Linked DNA regions of Stegostoma tigrinum. The protein of the gene in region 2 purifies or fractionates together with the protein of the main gene of each other region. This does not show direct contact. Links are inferred from orthologs where the notes say so. Each region holds a gene or a part of one and is shown on either strand. Other genes may lie near its edges.

Region 1 (10,651 bases), on a different chromosome or scaffold from region 2:
TGTGAAAAGGTTGCCCCTCAGGTCGAGGGAAAACAGGGAATTACAGACCAGTGAGTTTAACATTGGTAACGGGGAAAATTTTTGAATCCATTGTCAAGGACTTTTAACAGAGCATTTAGAAAGCAGTGGCAGGATCAGACAGAGTCAGCATGGATTTATGGAGGGGAAATCATGCTTGACAAACCTGTCGGAATTCTATGAAGATGTAACTAGTAGAGTAGATGTGGGGAAGCCAGTCGATGTAGTATATTTGGATTTTCACATAGTGTTTGACAAAATCCCACATAAGAGATTAATGTGTAAGATTAAAGTGCATGGGAGTGGAGGTAGGAAACTAGTTGGCAGAACAAAACAAAGAGTAGGAATTAATGGATCCTTTTCACAATGGTAGGCAGTAATTAGTAAGGTGACACAGGGATTAGTATTGGGACCCCAGCTATTCATAATATATATTAATGATTTGGATGAGGGAACAAAATGTAACATCTCCAAGTTTGCAGATGATATCAAGTTGAGTGGGAGAGTAAACTGTGACGAGGATGCAGAGATCATCCAGAATGATTTCGACAGGTTGGTTGAGTGCACAAATCAATGGCATATGCAGTATAATTTGGATAAATGTGAGGTTATTCACTTTGGAAGCAAAAATAAGAAGGCCAATTACTACCTGAATGGCTGTAAATTGGGAGAGGGCAGTGTGCAGCAGGGCCTGGGTATCCTTGTGCACCAGTCACTGAAGGCAAGCATGAAGGTGCAGCAGGTGGTAAAGCAGGCAAATGGTACGTTGGCCTTCATTGCCAGAGGTTCGGTACAGGAGCGGGGATATGTTGTTGCAGTTGTACAGGACCTTGGTGAGACCACACCTGGAATATTGTGTGCAGATTTGGTCTCCTGTTCTGAGAAGGGATGCTCATACTCTCAAGGGAGTGCAGCGAAGGTATAGCAGGCTGATTCTGGGAATGATGGGTCTAACGTATGAGGAGAGATTGACTAGGCTGGGATTGTTTTCACTGGAGTTCAGATAAATGAGGGGGGATATCACAAAGACTTATAAAAACAGGACTGGACAGGATAGATGCAGGGAGGATGGTCCTGATGGTGATTATGTCCAGAACCAGGGATTACAGTCTGAAGATTCGGGATAGATGATTTAGGATGAGGAAACATTTCTTCACCCAAAGAGTGGTGAGCCTGTGGAGTTCATTACCACAGGAAGTAGTTGATACCAAAACACTGAACGTATTCAAGAGGAGACTAGATATAGCATTTGGGGCAAATGGGATCAAAGGTTAGAGAGATAACTCTCTGAATAAAGAGGCTTCTTCTCATCTCAGTCTTCGTTTGAACTATCTTGAAATTATGATCCCTAGTTACTGAAATACTAACTCTGGAAACAAAATATCCACTTTACCCTATCAGGATTGTTCATAATATTGAACACTTCAATAAGGTTCCCTTTCAACATTCTCTGCTCCAAGGAGAATAAGCCCAATTTCACTAGTCTTTCCTTGTATCAAAAATTCCTCATTCCTGGTATCATTGCAGTAAATTTCCGATAAGCCTCCTTCACAAATATTTCAACTTGCCTGGCCAGCTTCAGAGAATCTGTGAACCTCAAGTTTCCTCTAATCCTGTACTCCCCTCAAAGTTGTACCATTGAGCCTGTATTGTCTCTGTTTCTTCTGTAAAATGATTAACTCACACTTTTAAAATTTATCTGCCAGGCATCTGCCCAATTGGCCAACTTGTCAATGTCCCTGAAGTCGCTCAGCATCATCTTCAATATACTTCCCAAGATTAGTATTGTCTGCAAAATTTAGAGATTTTGCCATCAACACTCATTTCCAAATCAGGAAAAAAAACAAGGGTCTCAACACCGATCCCTATGAACACCACCTTCAATTTATCTCCAATCGGAGAAGTGCCCATCCATACACACTCTCTTTTTCCTATCTTTTCACAGTCATTGAGGTTTACTGCATGAGTATAGGCCCTTTGGCCTAACTTGTCCATTTTTGTTTTACAATTAAACTAGTTTTTACAATTAAACTAGTTCTATTTGCCTGCATTTTGTCTATGTTCCTCTATACCTATACAATCCATGTATCTGTTCAAGTGTTTGTTAAATGACGAAATTGGACTTGCCTCCACCAGCCTGTTTCCCAGACCATCTGTGTGAAAAAAATGATCCCTCTGGACTCTCTTGTATCTCTCCCCTCTCACCTTAAACCTATGCCCTCTAGCTTTAAATTCCCCTACCAAGAGGAAAATACATTATCTATTTACCTTGTCTATGCTTCTCATGACTTTATAAACCTCTAAAAGGTCATCCCTCAGTTTCCTACACTCCAGGAAAAACAGTCCCAGCCTATCCAGCATCTCTCTATTACGCAAACCTTCCAGTCCAGGTAGCATTCTTCTAAATTTTTCCACACTCTTTCTAGTTTAATAATATCCTTTCTATTGTAGGGCGACCAGAACTGGATTCAGTACTCCAAATGAGACCTCATCACCATCATGTACAACTGCAACAAGATGCCCCAACTCCTATACTCAATGCACTGACTGATGAAAGCAAGCAGGTCAAAAGCCTTTGTCACCACCCTGTCTACTTGTCTCTCCACTTCCAAGCAGTTATGAACCTGTACCCCTCGATCTCTTGGTTCTATAACACTCCCCAGTGCCCTACCATTGACTCTAAGTCCTGCCCTGATTTGACCTACCAAAATGCAATACCTTCCATTTATCTAAATTAAACTCCATCTGTTATTCCTCAGCCCAGGTGATCAAGACATTGCTTTATTCCTTGATAACCTTTTTCACTGTCCACTATACCACCAATCTTGATGTCATCCACAAACCTATTAACCATACTTCCAAAATTCTCATCCAAATTGCTAAATAAGTGAAGAATAACAGTTGACCCAGCACTGATCCCTTTAATACACTGCTGGTCACAGGCCTCCAGTGTGAGAAAAAAACCCTTTACCACCATACTCTGTCTCCTACCATCAAGCCAATTAAGCTAGCTGAGTGTGAGAATTAACCTTACTCCACAATCCACCATGTGGTACCTTGTCAAAGGCTTAGCTAAAACCCATGCTGACAATATCAATTGCACCAATGTCATCTACTTTCTTTGTCACCCTTTCAAAAAATTCAATCAAATTCATGAAACACGATTTCCCATGCACAAAGCCATGCTGACTAACCGTGGTGAGTCCTTGCCTCTTCAAATACCCGTCGATCCTATCCCTCAGAATGCTTTTGAACAACTGACTCACCACAGACTTTTGCTGGTCTATAATTACCAAACATTTTCCTATTGCCTTTCTTAAATAATGACACAATATCAGCCACCTCCAATCTTCTGATACCACACCCATGGCTATTGATGATACAAATGTTTCTGTTAGGGCCTGCAATTTTGTCCCTCGCCTCCCACAAAATCCTGGGATACACTTCATCTCGTCCCAGGGATTTATCTATTTAATGCATTTTAAAATTTCTAGCACCTCCTCTTCTATAATGTGGACTCTTTTAAAGACATCACTGTTTATTTTCCCAAATTTCTTAGCATCTACACCTTTCTCGATGGTAAATGCTAATTAGAAATATTCATTCAGGATCTCACCCATCTCTTGCAGCTGCACACTCAGACAACCTTGTTGATCTTAACCTTTAAGTGTTCCTATTCACTCTTTTGTCCATCACGTACTTGTAGAATTTCTTGGGATTCTCTGTTACCTTACCAAAGCCATCTTTTGATGCCAGTTAGCCCTCCTGATTCGTCCCTTCAGTGTCCTCCGACAGATCCTATACTCCTCCACTAATTCACTTGATCTCAGCTGGCTATACATGTCATATGCCCCTTTCTTTTTCTTGACCAGGGCCTTCATGAGGGCCTCTCTATGAAATGAAAATCATGTTTGAAAGATCTAGTGGAATTTTTCAAGATGTAATGAGTACAGTTGATAAGTGGACCAAGTGAATGTGGTTGCAGAGCCTTTAGATAAGGTCCCACATAAAATTAGGATATAGGATAGGAATAGCATACTGATGTGGATGGAGATAATAGGAACTGCAGATGCTGGAGAATCTGAGATAACAAGGTGTTGAGCTGGATGAACACAGCAGGCCAAGCAGCATCCTAGGAGCAAGAAAGCTAGCAGCATCTTAGGAGCAGGAGAACTGGTTGGCAGACAGGAAACAAAGAGTATTAATAAATAGGTCATTTTCCAATTGTCAGCCAGTGACTACTGGGGTATTACAGGGATAAGTGCTTGCAACACAGCAATTAACTAAACATAATGGAGCAGCTGGTGAAGTTCAGAGTGGGACTGTAATAGCAGGGAAGGAAAAGGAGGACTCTAAGTTATTTTTTTACATATTATTTTAGGTTAATGAAAATGGCACCTATTCATAGAGACAGTATAAACTTTTCATTGTATTTTATATTGAATACACACAACAACAAATGATTCAATTCAATAATCTACCATGACAAGATAATTAGCTTCTGTTAGCATAATGAGACATACTTCCAGCTTCAGCCATGGTCAGTCTGGAATGTCATTTTTATCAGCAGCTCTCTAGTTTGCTTTGTTTGAACTTGTTACAAGCACTGTACTGTGGTTAGCACAACAACACTTCTACTTCAGAGATAATGGGAACTGCAGATGCTGGAGAATCCAAGATAACAAAGCATGGGGCTGGATGAACGCAGCAGGCCAAGCAGCATCTTAGGAACACAAAAGCTGACGTTTCAGGCCTAGACCCTTCATCAGAAAAGGGGGATGGGGAGAGGATTCTAAAATAAATGGAAGGGGGGGGTGGGGAGGCAGACCAAAGATGGATATAGGAGAAGATAGGTGGAGAGGAGAGTATGGGGGGGGGGGGGGGGAGGTAGGGAGGGGATAGGTCAGTCCAGGGAGGACAGACAGGTCAAGGGGGCAGGATGAGGTTAGTGGATAGGAAATGGAGGTACAGCTTGAGGTGGGAGGAGGGGATAGGTGAGAGGAAGAACAGGTTAGGGAGGGAGGGATGAGCTGGGCTGGTGTCCATCCTGGGCCTCCTGCAGTGCCATAATGATGCCACCCGTAGGTTGCAGGAATGGCAACTCATATTCCGCTTGGGAACCCTGCAGCCCAATGGTATCAATGTGGATTTCCCCTCCCCCCCGACTCCCAAAACTAGCCCAGCTTGTCCCCACCTGCCAAACCTGTTTTCCCTCTCACCCATCCCCCTCCTCACACCTCAAGCCGCACCTCCATTTCCTACCTACTAACCTCATCCCACCTCTCGCCTCCACGTATCTTCTCCTCTATCTATCTTCAGTCCGCCTCCCCCTCTCTCCCTCTCTCCCTATTTATTTCAGAATCTTCTTCCCATCCCCCTTTTCTGATGAAGCGTCTCAGCACGAAACGTCATCCCCTACCCCCACAGGCACTTCATTGACGTAGCTCCCAGTTCGGGACGGAGCCTCCCCGTGTTGCTTGGTGACTTGTAGGGGCGGGGCCTCCCTCAGCCACCCGGCGACAGTTAGGGGCGGGGCCTCATCCGCGCGCCCGGTTTGAACGCACGCATGCGCAGTACTGATGGTCTGCTGGTGATAGCGCGCGCATTTTGGCTCCCTTTCCTTCTGCAGGCAAACGTCAAGAAAATACAAAAAAAACGTGACGCTGGTTTCGGTGCATCTTATTCCCAGGTAAGATCAAAAGGAAAAACAAGAACGGTTGTGTAATACACTTCTGTTCTCAGGACATGAGGACTGTTGTGTCCCAATCTGCCGCGAGTGACAAGAGCGACTTGGGGAATGAGCAGAGGTTCAGTAACTCGTTTTTAGTATGTGTGGGTATCAAATGACTTCTTGTGTAAATTGGATCGTGCCTCAGGAACTTCTGCGTGTTTGTATATCGTTTGTGTTTTTCAAATGCGTATCTTCCCTGCAGTAGAAATCGCAATTTAACGTATCACAGGAACAGATTGAGTTTGAGGGCTGGTGTTGACATGTAAGAATGTGTAAATTCTGATTTCAATGAACCAATAAAGCTCTATGCTACTAAAACTGAGCAGGGGATTTTTTAAAAAAAATGTATATTCCTTCAAGGGATGTGAGTGTCATTAGTTAGGCCAGCATTTATTGCCCATTCCTAATTGCCTCGGAGAAGATGGTGGTGAGTGGCCTCCTTGAATATCTGCAGTCCTTGGGTTGTAGCTATGTTCAGCACGGTTAGGAGTGGTATTCCAGGATTTTAATTCAGCTGCATTTGAAAGAATGGTGACATATTTCCAAGTCAGGGTAACGAGAGTCTTGGGGAGGAACTTGCATTGCATGATCTGTTAGTTTCATTAGAGATTGAAAACCAAAAGGACTGCGAATGCTGTAAATCAGGAACAAAAAGAGGTTTCTGGAAAAGCTCAGCAGATCTGACAGCATCTGTGAAGAAAAAAGATCACATGTAACATTTTGGATCCGGTGACCCTTCCTCAGAACAGTTCTGAGGAAGCGTCACCGGACCTGAAACGTTAACTGATTTTTTTGTTCTTCACGGACGCTGCCAAACCAGCTGAGCTTTTCCTGAAACCTCTAATTTTGTTGTTATTAGAGATTGAACACCCAGCATTCACTGCCTTCCAGGGAAAGAGAACTCCCCGCATTAACATAGATAACAAGGTGTAAGAGCTGGATGAACACAGCAGGCCAAGCAGCATCAGAGGAATAGGAAAGCTGACATTTTGGGTCTAGACCCTTCTTTAGAAATGGTCTAGACCCGAAATGTCAGATTTCCTGCTCTTCTGATGCTGCTTGGCCTGCTGTGGTCATCCAGCTCTACACCTTGTATTTTCAGACTCTCCAGTGCCAGCAGTTCCCACTATCTGTCCCTACATTAACAATTCTTTTGAGAGAAATTTTTACTTATCCTTGTCTTAAAGGGATGACCTCTTATTCTTAAACTGTACTTTTTGATCTCAACCCCAAGAGAAAACAACGTCGTCCACATATGCATCCAGTGCAATTGCCTCAAAATCTTGTATGTTTGAAAAGATCGCATCACATTTTCTGAACTCTAATTAGATATTGGTCTAATCTGTTTCTAAATAAATATGCCCTTCATCCCAGGCATGAGTCCAGTGATAACAAAGTGTGGAGCTGGATGAACACAGCAGGCCAAGCAGTATCTCAGGACCACAAAAACTGACGTTTCGGGCCTAGACCCTTCATCAGAGAGGGGGATGGGGAGAGGGTTCTGGAATAAATAGGGAGAGAGGGGGAGGCGGACCGAAGATGGAGAGAAAAGAAGATAGGTGGAGAGGAGAGTATAGGTAGGGAGGGGATAGGTCAGTCCAGGGAAGACGGACAGGTCAAGGAGGTGGGATGAGGTTAGTAGGTAGATGGGGGTGCGGCTTGGGGTGGGAGGAAGGGATGGGTGAGAGGAAGAACCGGTTAGGGAGGCAGAGTCAGGCTGGGCTGGTTTTGGGATGTAGTGGGGGGAGGGAATGAACTGGGCTGGTTGTGGGATGCGGTGGGAGAAGGGGTGATTTTGAAGCTGGTGAAGTCCACATTGATTCCACCTATCTGGACTCCATTTTCTCCCCTTTCGTCCAGGAACCCCCCACCTATGTCAGTGACACCACCCACACCCTCCACCTCCTCCAGAACTTCCAATTCCCTGGCCCCCAACACCTCATTTTCACCACGGACGTCCCGTCCCTATACGCCTGTATTCCTCATGCAGATGGCCTCAAGGCCCTCCGCTTCTTCCTTTCCTGCAGGCCTGACCATTCCCCCTCCACCGACACCCTCATCCGCCTAGCCGAACTCGTCCTCACCCTCAACAACTTCTCTTTCGATTCCTCCCACTTCCTACAGACAAAGGGGGTGGCCATGGGCACCTGCATGGGCCCCAGCTATGCCTGTCTCTTTATATGTTACGTGGAACAGTCCCTCTTCCGCACCTACACAGGCCCTAAACCCCACCTCTTTCTCCGTTACATTGATGACTGTATTAGCGCCGCATCTTGCTCCCCAGAGGAGCTCGAACAGTTCATCCACTTCACCAACACCTTCGACCCCAACCTCAAGTTCACCTGGGCCATCTCCAACACATCCCTCACCTTCCTGGACCCCTCAGTCTCCATCTTAGGCAACCAGCTAGCTACTGATGTCCATTTCAAGCCCACCGACTCCCACAGCTACCTAGAATACACTTCCTCCCACCCACCCTCCTGCAAAAATTCCATCCCCTATTCCCAATTCCTCCGCCTCCGCCGCATCTGCTCCCAGGATGAGCCATTCCACTCCCGCACATCCCAGATGCCCAAGTTCTTCAAGAACCGCAACTTGCCCCCCACAGTGGTTGAGAACGCCCTTGACCGTGTCTCCCGCATTTCCCGCAACACATCCCTCACACCCCGCCCCCGCCACAACCGCCCAAAGAGGATCCCCCTTGTTCTCACATACCACCCCACCAACCTCCGGATACAACGCATCATCCTCCGACACTTCTGCCATCTACAATGCGACCCCACCACCCAAGATAATTTTCCATCCCCACCCTTGTCTGCCTTCTGGAGAGACCACTCTCTCCGTGACTCCCTTGTTCGCTCCACACTCCCCTCCAACCCCACCACACCCGGCACCTTCCCCTGCAACCGCAGGAAGTGCTACACTTGCCCCCACCCCTCCTCCCTCACCCCTAACCCAGGCCCCAAGATGACTTTCCATATTAAGCAGAAGTTCACCTGCACATCCGCCAATGTGGTTTGCTGTATCTATTGTATCCGGTGTGGCTTTCTCTACATTGGGGAAACCAAGCGGAGGCTTGGGGACTGCTTTGCAGAACACCTCTGCTCGGTTCGCAATAAACAACTGTACCTCCCAGTCGCAAACCATTTTAACTTCCCCTCCCATTCCTCAGACGACATGTCCATCATGGGCCTCCTGCAGTGCCACAATGATGCCACCCAAAGGTTGCAGGAACAGCAACTCATATTCCGCTTGGGAACCCTGCAGCCCAATGGTATCAATGTGGACTTCACCAGCTTCAAAATCTCCCCTTCCCCCACCGCATCCCACAACCAGCTCAGTTCGTCCCCTCCCCCCACTGCATCACACAACCAGCCCAGCTCATTCCCTCCCCCCACTGCATCCCAAAACCAGCCCAGCCTGTCTCTGCCTCCCTAACCTGTTCTTCCTCTCACCCATCCCTTCCTTCCATCTCAAGCTGCACCTCCATTTCCTACCTACTAACCTCATCCCACCTCCTTGACCTGTCCGTCTTCCCTGGACTGACCTATCTCCTCCCTACTTCCCCACCTATACTCTCCTCTCCACCTATCTTCTTTTCTCTCCATCTTTGGTTCGCCTCTCCCTCGCTCCCTATTTATTCCAGAACGCTCTCCCTATCCCCCTCTTTGATGAAGGGTGTAGGCCTGAAACGTCAGCTTTTGTGCTCCTGAGATGCTGCTGGGCCTGCTGTGTTCATCCAGCTCCACACTTTGTTTTCTTGGATTCTCCAGCATCTGCAGTTCCCATTATCAATTTGAAATGCCTCTGAAACAATTAACTATTTTTCAAATAAGTAGGCCAAGACATAGTATTCCAGATGTGATCTCATCAGTCCCCTGCAGAGCACCAGTAAAGCTTTTCTTTTATGTTCCTTTATAAAATTGTAGAAAATAGGTGCATGCTGTTTTCCATAGAACATAGAACAAAACAGCGCAGAACAGGCCCTTCGGCCCTCAATGTTGCACCAACCTGTGAACTAATCTTAGTCCCTCCCCCTATACTATCCCATCGTCATCCACATGCTGATCCAAGGACTGTTTAAATGCCCCTAATGTGACTGCGTTAACTACATTAGCAGGCAGGGCGTTCCATGCCCTTACCACTCTCTGAGTAAAGAATCTGCCTCTGACATCTGTCTTAAATCTATCACCCCTCAATTTGTAACTATGTCCCCTTGTACAAGCTGAAGTCATCATCCTCGGAAAAAGAGTCTCACTGTCACACCCTGTCTAATCCTCTGATCATCTTGTATATCTCTATTAAATCCCCTCTTAGCCTCCTTCTCTCCAATGAGAACAGACCCAAGTCCCTCAGCCTTTCTTCATAGGGCCTGCACTCCAGACCAGGCAACATCCTGGTAAATCTCCTCTGCACCTTTTCCAATGCTTCCACATTCTTCCTGTAATGGGGTGACCAGAACTGCATGCAGTATTCCAAATGAGGCCGCACTAGCGTTTTGTACAGTTGCAGCATGATATCACGGCTCCGGAACTCAATCCCTCTACCAATAAAACCTAACACACCATAAGTCTTTTTAATAGCACTATCAACCTGGGTGGCAACTTTCAGGGATCTGTGTACATGGACTCCCAAGATCCCTCTGCATATCCACACTTCCAAGAATCTTTCCATTGACCCAGTATTCTGACTTCCTATTATTCTTCCCAAAGTGAATCACCTCACGTTTATCCGCATTGAACTCCATTTGCCATCTTTCAGCCCAGTTCTGCAGTTTATCCAAGTCTCTCTGCGACCTGCAACATTCTTCCACACTGCCCACCACTCCACTGACATTAGTGTCATCTGCAAACTTACTAACCCATCCACCTATGCCTGCATCCAAGTCATTTATAAAAATGA
Region 2 (10,751 bases):
GTGATGATGAGCTGCCTCTTGAATTCTTGCTATTCAAGTGGCAGAGGCACACTTACAGACCTGTTAAGTTGTTCCAGGATCTTGACCCAGTGACAGTGAAGGAACAGAAATGTAGTTCCAAATCAGGATGGTGTGAGGATTGGAGCAGAACTTGCAGATGATGGTTTTCCTAAACAACTACTGCACTTGATTTTCTAGGTGATAACAGTTTGAAGGTGCTGCGGTAGGAGTGTTGGTGAATTAGTATGATGCGTTTTGGTGACAGAAAACAGGTGCTGTTGTGCAATGGTGATGGAGAAAGTGAATGGGTTACAATCCTCTGACATATGTACAAACCTGCATGATAAGGAAATGTGGATTGTTGACATTCAGACCGATTGAACAGAAGAGATCTTGCACTCTGGTGTTGTTTGCATTCACACCATTAATTAAGTACTTGTTTCTCCCACCAATTACCACCTGAAAAATGAATAGTTTTAATTGTTTGGCAGTAAAAAGACAATGATTCCAAAAACACAACACAAACTTTAAAAAAAATACAGAAATGCAGCCACTGGAGAAATTTATTAATCATTGTAAGCAGAGTCTTTCTAACATAGATTACAGAAAGCAGTACGACAAATTCCTCTAACTAGACAGTTTACGCGATTTAATACTTAAAATCTGATTTGAGCAGGCAGATATCAAGTTGAGAATTGCAACTTTTCACATTATTTATTGTCAATTTGTATAATATTATGCTTTACTTCGCACACGAGCACTAAATCATACAAATCTTGTGCCCAATAACCTTTACAAGTTTTCACTGAAGGCAACACATTATGCCATTAGCATGATATAATGAGGACGACGCACTAAATGACAGTATTATGTGTAATGCCAAAGTGAGTGCTGTCCAGTTATTGCCACATTTTTTGACAAGGCAAAAATCTGTTTCATCCTGGCAACAAACACATTCAATCATCAGAAAAGCAATGTCATGATGCTTTTTGAATTCCACAATCAGATTATGTCTGCAACTTTCATGGACTGAAATACTGACTTAAAATGGTACAGCAATCACTTGACTAAGTTTCAATGTAAATCGGACAGCAGACACTCAAACAGAGATGAACATTTTTATCCAAAAGCAAGGAAGACAGTCAACATCCTTCAAGACAGAGGCATGGAAATATTTTCATCTATTTTTATAGCACACCCAATATTTGCACATTGGAGAAGACAGGCCCTGCAATTACCAAGCTTGAAGTTCAATAAACCCAGATATGAAAATACACAAACAATTGCAACCAGCTGGAGAAAATTCTCTGTCTAATGCAAAGAAAAGATGTTAAGTGACACATAGGTTAAAAACAAAAATTAGAACAAAACTCCAAGGAGAATTGAGACTGCTGATATCCAAGACCATAAGTAAATAACCATGGTTTCAGGTTGAAACCTTACTTCAAGGACACTCAAAGTATTTTAGAACTATTTGTTCCTTTCAAGTTTCTTTTGAACAGGACACTATTTTTAACTTTACACACGAGTGTAAGTTTGGTATTGTGTTTTTATTTTTGTCAGGATCAGCAGGTAATAGGAATTGTTCTTTCACTGAAGAAAGTCTTATGATGTACTGCTTACTATTTTAACGGGAAAAAAGATAATAGCCTCATGCTAAAAAAAACCACAAAGCTTTAGTGTGACCAACCAGGGAGGTTGAAATAAAAAATTCTCACCATCTCACCTAGTCGTAACAACTTTGCACAAGAACCTCCCTGGCATTACAAGAGTGTGCAGAGAGCATCAGCTCTGATTCCACAACCGAGGAAGAACAAACTATTATCCTATATGACACTATATGACCTTAACTTGTGCCATATTTGCTTCACCCGCTGAGAATCAATCCCAGTTTGCAGGGGTGAGAATACAAAATGGACCAGTATCCAGTTCAAAAGGCATAAGACAGAAGAGTCAGGAAGAGACTCTTCTGAAGAAGTTTTCATTGTTAACATTGTGGAATATTAAATACGATAGAAATGTTGCAGAGTACCTGTCTCGAGACAGTAATTTCATCATGAGTCTCAAAGCCCAGAGGACTTTGTTTTTTGTCAGAGTTATCAAAGGTAATTGAGACAGTGGCTTTTGTAATCCCTGCTTGCCCATTTTTGTAGACCAAATCCTGCAGGTTGCTGGCTCGCACCTAACAGCAGACAACAAAACAAGGTTGCAATGAAAATTAGCATTAAAATACTCCAAAACCCAAAATGTCTGAAGCATTATATTGATTTCCAATTAAATAGTAGCCTAATATCAATAGTAAAAAGAACATTGGAATCTCAAAGATAATTGGGCTTAGAAAATACTATTAGGATTCTGAGTTAACATGGATTTATGAAAAGGAAATCTTTTTGACAAACTAGTTAAGATTTTATCGAGGATGTAATTCGCAGAATAGACAGAGTGTATTTGGATCTTCAGAAGGCTGTTAATAAGGTGCCATTAAGGAGGTTAGGAATCCAAATGAGATCACATCAGTTTGAAGGAATATACCGGCAAAGATTGAGGAATGATTGACATACAGAACACGGAACAAAATCAAACTGATCATTTTCTGGTTGCGGGAGGTGACTAGTACTACCACGATCAGTGCATGGGTCCCAGATTTCATAGTCTACATCAATAATTCGATGGACACTGAAATTTGCTGTTGACACAAACTAGATGGGAATATAAATGGGAAGGGGATGCAGAGATTTAGACAAGCTGAGTGGACAAGGTCACCACAGATGGAACATCATGTGGGAAAATGTTGTTACTTCACATTTAATTTTTCTACCAAAGTGAATATTTCTTAAATGGTTTCTTAATATTTCTTAAAGATCACTCCAGTCCTTCCTTCCCCCGCTCTCAGCAACAATATACTACTCTCCTCTGATATAGATGTGAATGTACAAGGTGCGGTTAGTAAGTTTGCAGATTACATCAAAATTTTAAATGTATGGACAACAAAGATGGTTACCTCAGAGTACAACAGGATCTTGATTAGATGAGCTACTGGGCCAAGGAGTGGCAGACAGAGTTTAATTTAGGTAAACATGAAATACTGCATTTTGGAAAAGCAAATTGGGGGTAGTATTTATACACTTAAATGGTACAGTCCTGGGCAGCGTTACTGAACAAAGATGCCTTGGAGTGCAGGTTCATAGTTCCTTGAAAGTGGAGTCCCAGGTGGATAGAATAGTGAAGAAGGTGTTTGATATCCTGTTTTTTATTGGTCAGAGCATTGGGTAAGAGAGTTGCGGCTGTACAAGACATTGGTTAGGCCACTTTTGCAATACTGGTATCCCTGATGTAGGAAAGAAGTTGTGAAACTTGAAAGGGTTCAGAAAAGATTTACAAGGATGGTACCATGGTTGCAGTTATTGGGAAAGGCAGAATAGGGTGAGACTATTTTCCCTGAAACATTGGAGGATGATGGGTGATCTTATAGAGGTTTTTAAAAAAAGGAACATGAATAGGGTGTATAGTCAAGGTGTTTTCCCTAGGTAGTTGAGTCCAAAACTAAAGGGCATAGATTTAAAGTGAGAGGGGCAAGATTTAAAATAGACCTCAGGGATAACTTTTTGCACACAGAGGGTGATGAATGTATGCAATGAGCTTCCAGTGGAGGTGGAAGAGGCTGGTACAATTACAACATTTAGAAGGCACAAAAACAGAAGCTGCTGTAAAAGCTCAGCAGGTCTGGCAGCATCTGTGAAGGGAAATCAGAGCTAACGTTTCGAGACCGGTGACCCTTCCTCAGAACTGCCCATTTCTGATTTCTCTTCACAGATGCTGATCTCTTCCAGCAACTTCTATTTTTGTTTCTCATTTACGGCATCCGCAGTTTCCATTTAAAAGGCAGCTGAATGAATAGAAAGTGTTTTCGGAGGGAGACGGGCCAAATGCTGACAAATGGGACTAAATTAATGCGGACGAGTTAGACCGAAGGATGTTTCTGTGTTGTATATCTCCATGACCCACTTCCATCCCCCTCCCCAAAGCAACCTCCTTTGTCCCCTTCCTTCGCACAACTTTACACCATCACCACTATTTCACTTCCTCAACTCAATCTTCCAACACCATCACCCCCTTCCCTTCCTCCTCTGAACCCCCATTTTTTAAAAATCTTTTCTCTCACCACCTAAAGTCCCTTGGGCCGCACTGAACCCTTCACATCCTACACCTTCTCCGATCGCCCCCTTCTCCTCCTAACTTGCGATCCCCATCTTCCCCCCACTTCCCTGTCGAACCTGGGACAAGTTACTGATGCCGAGGAGGAAGCAGATGGAGTCTAAGATGTTGGACTTGCCGCTGCCGTTTAGGCCGGTAATAGCATTAAAGAGCGGATCGAAGCCGTTAATCTCCGTCCGTTGCGCGTAAGACTTGAAGCCGTCGATGATGATGGATTTTATATACATTTTCCTTCACCGTGTTAAATTAAACTAAATCCGGAATTTCACTGCAACTCGGAGAGCTCCGGTTGCCTCCCAGCAGTTTAAATTTTGGCGCCAATCCCTGACCGTTAGTTCAATGGCCTCAGTTGGTTCAGTGGCGCTTTCACCTCAGTACCGCCATGCAATTTTAAGACAGAAAACGCAGCAGCTCAAGATTAATGTAATTATTGCGGCGGATTCCTGGCGTTTGGAGAATAATTAACGATTTGTGGAAAATTGACGATTTAGAGACGGCAGGCGCCTTTCGATGACGTTCCTGCCATGCGGGGCAGAACCCTGCGGTTTCTCTTAAAGGGGCCACGTCTTCACGCCCTAAATCACGTGGTCCCACCCGCGGGTGACAGAGGCCTTTGAAATGTCATCCCCCTCCAAACGTGAGACCCTCACTCGGTAAGGCCCCAGACCCGTAAAGTGGCCTCCTTAGCAGCACGCCGAGGTGAAGTCGATGCGTTCCAGCGAGTGTTCAAACCTCCCCCTCAAACATTTCTGTCTGCCCGACCCATCAAGTAAAACCTGTCCCGAGTGTGGTAAACTCTGCAGATTGGTTAGACTTAACAACCATTTCGCAACCCATTGGACTCAGATGAAAGAAGTGGCGTTCAGTCATGATCTTATTGAACGGCAGAACAAGTTTGAATGGCCTGCTGAGTCCTAAGTTCCACTGAACCATCAAAACATTACGGCACAGAAGGAGACCATTCAGCCCCTTGTGTCTCTGCTGAAAAAAAAACTAGCTACCCATGATCATGCCACTTTCCAGTACCTGATCCAGAACCTTGCAGGTTACACCACTTCAGGTGAATATCCAGGTACCTTGGTTCCTTTAAGGTATAACATTGAACCAGGCCATTCAGCCCAATGTCTGTGATCTGCTGCTTGTATATAAGTAATAATAGAGCATTCAGCTCCAGTAACGACATTTCGGGAAGTATGTGAGGGTGCAGAGCAGGTTTGCAAGAATGATTCCAGGAATAAGGGAATTTAGCGAGTATGTCAGATCGGAAGAACATCTGTTGTTCTACTTCAAGCAAAGGGCATCAAGGGGAGATTTGAGATCAGAGATAATAGGAACTGCAGATGTTGGAGAATCCAAGATAACAAAGTGTGGGGCTGGATGAACACAGCAGGCCAAGCAGCATCTTAGGAGCACAAAAGCTGAGATTTGACAGGTTGAAGATAAAGCAAATCTCACATCTGCGAATGATATAAGGGCATACCATTTTAAGGCTTTAGGCAAAAAATATCCACGGGGATGTGAGAAAGAATGTTTGCTTTTAACACAATTATTGAGTAGTCTTGAATCCCTGCTCCCAAGGGTGCTGGAAGTTGTCATGGTCATTGGGGGATATAAACTTTGCAAAGCTGCACAGACTCATTGGGCTGAATGCCTGTTTTGCTGTAATGACTCTATGAGCCTCCTCCCTCTCATCTTTATCTTCACCTTGTCAATATATCCTTATAATCTTCTTGCCTTAATGTCTATCTGGTGTCGCCTTAAACTCTTATTAATCACTTCAACATTGAAATAATAATGTGAGCCTCTTCTGACATTTAATGGGATAATGGCTGATCTATCCTCAATTCCTTTAACCCATCTCTTCCACATATAATAATATTATTGGCTAAAAAAGCATATCATCACCAAATTTAAAGTGAATAATTTGCTGTTTGTGGAAGAATTCCATACAGCCATATCGGGTCAAGTAACCAAATGCACCGAGAAAAAAGATTGGCTTTAAGGAATATATAAAAGGGGTAAAACTATTGCTTGATATTTATGGACCCTCCTCCTCTTGGATGTGATAGGACTGCAGAGCTTAGGTCTGATCCTTTGGTTGTGGGATCGCTTAGCTCTGTCTATCACTTGCTGCTTATGCTGTTTGACATGCAAGTTATCCTGTTTGATGGCTTCACAGGTTGACACCTCATCTTCAACTATGCCTGGTGCTGCTCTTGGCATACCTTCTTGCACTCTTCTTTGAATCAGGGTTGATCTTTTTGATTGTAATGGTTGAGTGGGGATATGTTAGGCCATGAGGTGACAGATTGTGCTGGTGTACAATTCTGCCGCTGTTGTTGGCCAGCAGCGCCACGTGGATGCCCAATCTTGAGTTGCTGGATCTGTGTGAAGTCTGTCCTATTTATCATGGTGATAGTGCTACACAATGTGATGGAGGTTATTCTCAATGTGAAGGTGGGACTTCATCTGCACAAGGACTGTGTGATGGCCACTCTTACTGATACTGTCATGGATAGATCAGCTGCAGCTGGCAGGTTGGTAAGGATGAGGTCATGTATGTTTTTTTCTCTCATTGATTTCCTCACTGCCTGCCACAGACCCAATCTAATAGCTATGTCCATTAGGACCTGACTAGCTCAATCAGTAGTACTGCTGCTCTTGGTGGTGGACATTGAAATCCCCCAATCACAGTACATTTTGTGCCTTTGCCATCGTCAGTGCTTCCTCCAACTGCTGTTCAACATGGAGGCGGTACCGATTCATCAGCTGAGGGAGGACAGTATGTGGTAATCAGCAGGAGGCCTTGCCCATGTTTGACCTGAAGCTATAAGACTTCATGGGGTCCAGAGTCAATGTTGAGGACTCCAAAAGCAACTCCCTCTCGACTGCATACCTCTGTGCTGCCACCTCTGCTGGGTCTGTCCTGCCAGTGAGACAGGATGTATCCAGGGATGTTGATGGTGGTGTCTGGGACATTGTCTGTAATGTATGCTTCTGTGAGTATAACTATGTCATGCTGTTGCTTAACTAGTCTGTGAGACAGCTCTCCCAATTTTGGCACTAGCCCCCAGATGTTAGCAAGGAGGACTTTGCAGGATCGTTAGGGCTGTTTCTGCCTTTGTCTGTTCCAATGCCTAGGTCAATGCCAGGTGATCTGTCCAGTTTCATTTCTTTGAGACTTTGTCATGATTGGTACAACTGAATGGCTTGCTAGACCATTTCAGAGGGCAGTTGAGAGTCAACCATATTGCTGTGGGTCTGGAGCCAGACCAGGTAAGGACGTTAGATTTCCTTCCCTGATAGGTTTTTCCGACAATTGACAATGTTTTCATGGTGATCAGTAGATGCTTAATTCCAGTTTATGTTTATTATATTCAAATTCCACCATATGCCATGGTGAGATTTGAACCCGGGTCCCTAGAACATTAGCTGGGTTCCTGGATTAACAGTCTAGTGATAATACCACTAGGCCATCGCCTACCCCTGTGATATTTTACGCTGTAGCATAATGTACTTCAACAAAGATTGATATAGCAAATAATGCCATTCTTTCGGGAGGGAAAAGACTACAGATAAATTGAAGTTATGTTCTAGAAATAACATTCTCAAAATGATTAAGCCAATATATCCTACCAGACCTTAACTGGGATGTTCATAGTACCATGAGGGAATCTTTGCGTGCAAAATATATGGCACAATATCTAGTGGGAATTTTCTTTTTATCTTTATTGTCACATTTTGGGATTCCCATCTGTTGTAGCTGGTACAAGGATTCTTAACTTCAGGCACAAGTGGTTTTGTTAGGGATTGAAAGCCAAATATTTCACAAAAGTGGAAATTGTCAGTATCCATTCTAAATGAAAATTGGTCTGGATTTTATAGAATAAAATGAGCCAGCTATTAAAAAGTTATGATAGTAAGGCAAACAAATAGGTTGTTAAATAATCCCAGTTTAAGTTCCGAGCTGTTCTGTTGAAATAATTGGGACCAGCTGAGATGCTGGCCTTTATTTCAAGTGGTCCAAAACATAAATGACTGAAAATTGAAATACGGTGTTGGAAGTCATAGTCAATACAGTGTGGAGCTGGAAGAACACAGCAGGTCACGCAGCATCAGGTGAACATGAAAGTTTTGGATCTGGACCCTTCATCAGGACTGGGGAAAGGGAGCTCAGAAATAGATAAAGGCAGGTGGGCTGGTGTTAGGTGAATGCAGGTAGGGGATGTAGAGTTTGGTCAATTGGAAGGGTGGAGCGGATCGGTGAGAAGTAAGAAGAACAGGTTGTGTCAAGTCAAGGACGCAGGAATGAGAGGGAGGGCTGGACATGGGATGAAGCCAGGGGTGGGGAGACTTTTGAAGCTCATGACTTCTATGTTGAAGCCATTGGATTGTAAATTCCCAAGGTGGAATATAAGGTGTTCTTCCTCCAATGCTCCTGTGGCCTCATTGTGATACTGGAGGAGGCCCAGAATGGACATGCTGCCAAGGGAGTGGGAAGGGGAGCTAAATTACATAAAACACTGGTTAGTTAAACTGCAATTACGCAGCACCTTTATTTTTAAAAAATCTTGGGTTGACTCAAAACATTTACAACTAATCAAGTATTTTGAAGTGTAGTGCTCTTGTAATGTGGGAAAGATTAGCCAACATGTTCACAGCAACGTCCTGTTAAAAACACCAAAATGACCAGAACTCGGTAAACTTAGTGTGAAGCTCGAGGAACACAGAAGGTCACGCAAATGTCAGCTACTGGCACCTGTTCTGAAGAAGGGTCCTAACTCAAAACAACAATTTTCCTGCTTTTCGGATGCTGCCTGTCCTGCTGTGTTCCTTCAGTTCCACACCTTGTTATCTCAGACTCCAGCATCTGCAGTTCTTGCTGTCTCCAAATGACCAGAACTGGTTTTTTTTGTAATGTTCATTGAGGCTAACGGCTGGATAGAACACAGGAGAAACCTACCCTGCAAACCTTTAGAATAGTTCTATCAGATATTACATATTCGTAGAACAGAATATCTGTGAAGTGAATATGTAATATCTGATAGAACTACTCAACATCTCAATGAAAGTTGGTGCATCCAAGTGTAGTCATCCCTCAAAACTATAGAAGTTTTTTTGTGATCAATTCTCTGGAGTAGGGAGCTTGAACTCATAGACTCCTGAAACTGGAATGCAAGTACAGCCTGTTAACATCATGAGATAGCACCATAAGCTTCAATCTTATTAATTATACATTTGGAAAACATTTAAATTGAAATAAGATCTAGGAACAGTTGTTAATGATTTTAAAAACAGGAATCGAAGAAGTATTTTAATGGGCGGAAGATCGCAGGGCTTTACTCGGGGATCGTGAAGGGTAGGAGGAGAAATGATGAGAAACAATGGGCCATTCAAAGGGCTAGTATGGACACGATGGCCTGAACGAACTCACCGTGAAGAACGGTCAGTGACGATTACCCGCGCGAACAAATAGCCGTTAGGGTTTGAAATGATGACGTTCATCATACGCGACCACCAACGTAAGGTGCTGTGCCGAGTTACTGCGCATGTGTGATGACGTTGGTTGCCAGTTCGCTGACATGGCGACGGCGAGCCGCCGGTTTGTAGTGGGGTTGCTGTTTCGACTTTGTGCCGTTTTCTTCACCCTCCTGGGCCAGGTCGATGGCTTGGTGGAAGGCTTGTACTGCGGTGCTGTCTCTTGCTATGATGTCCTTGGAGTGTCGAGGGATGCTGGCAAAAGCGAGATCGCCCGCGCTTACCGCCAGCTGGCCCGGCGCTTCCACCCTGACCGCTACCGGCCCACGGAAGTCGGGGAGAACCCCGAGGAAAAGTTCCTGCTGGTTGCCACCGCCTATGAAACACTGAAGGTGTGGGTTGGGCGCACGAAGCATCTTTTGTGGTGTGGGGCATGTGGGTGCAACAGGAACATTGTTAGAGGATATGAGAGTTGGTGGGAGTGATCTTGGTGGCGTTGATAGTATTGAATAGGCTTGTTTGCAAATGTCAGCTACTGGCAAATGGAAACCTGCATCTCTGATTACTGTGATTTTTAATTTTAAAATGTGTAGGACATTAAATGCTTGGATGAAAAGCAAACTGTTTTGGTCTACATGGAAGAATGGTAACTGTCACTGACAACTTTTCCTAGGTTAACTATTCAAAAACACTTCACGCAAGACTTAGAACTGCTAATCTTATTTCTAAACGCATCATTTGTGCAGTTACTGTCAAAGGATAAAATTATAAAATGTATATGTTTATCTGCTGTTCATGGTCATGAGTTTCCTGAGTGACTTTAAAATTGTTTCTAGCTTGGTGCTGTTTTATCACACTTTCTAGTTGAAAAATGTCAGTGTAAAATTTGGCAAATTTCTGACCTTGCATACATTTGAGGTTCTGAGCAAGAGTTGAGGAACTTCTCTGGAATAGAGGACGACGTGTGAAGTTGCAACATTGACTGTCTTATCTACAACAGACATATTTAACGTATCCGGAGATGAGAGCAGATGCTATAATATTGGGCAACAAATGTA

The links. The genes of interacting proteins can lie anywhere in the genome.
Region 1: the proteins of smc2 (region 2) and ncapg2 purify together in Homo sapiens (affinity purification with western blotting; 4 studies listed by BioGRID and IntAct, with this or other methods). This does not show direct contact. The link is inferred for Stegostoma tigrinum from reciprocal best matches to the Homo sapiens genes SMC2 and NCAPG2.

What each region holds. Positions count from the first base shown.
Region 1 is NC_081355.1:138,681,669-138,692,319, forward strand, and holds the start of ncapg2 (condensin-2 complex subunit G2), read left to right. Parts: upstream 1-5,597; 5' UTR 5,598-5,707; intron 5,708-10,651. UniProt on the Homo sapiens protein: Regulatory subunit of the condensin-2 complex, a complex which establishes mitotic chromosome architecture and is involved in physical rigidity of the chromatid axis.
Region 2 is NC_081356.1:31,466,456-31,477,206, forward strand, and holds the start of smc2 (structural maintenance of chromosomes protein 2), read right to left. Parts: upstream 4,800-10,751; 5' UTR 4,443-4,799; coding exon 4,275-4,442; intron 2,183-4,274; coding exon 2,033-2,182; intron 460-2,032; coding exon 337-459; intron 1-336. Other genes in the region: dnajc25 (dnaJ homolog subfamily C member 25), read left to right, coding at 9,798-10,085. UniProt on the Homo sapiens protein: Central component of the condensin complex, a complex required for conversion of interphase chromatin into mitotic-like condense chromosomes.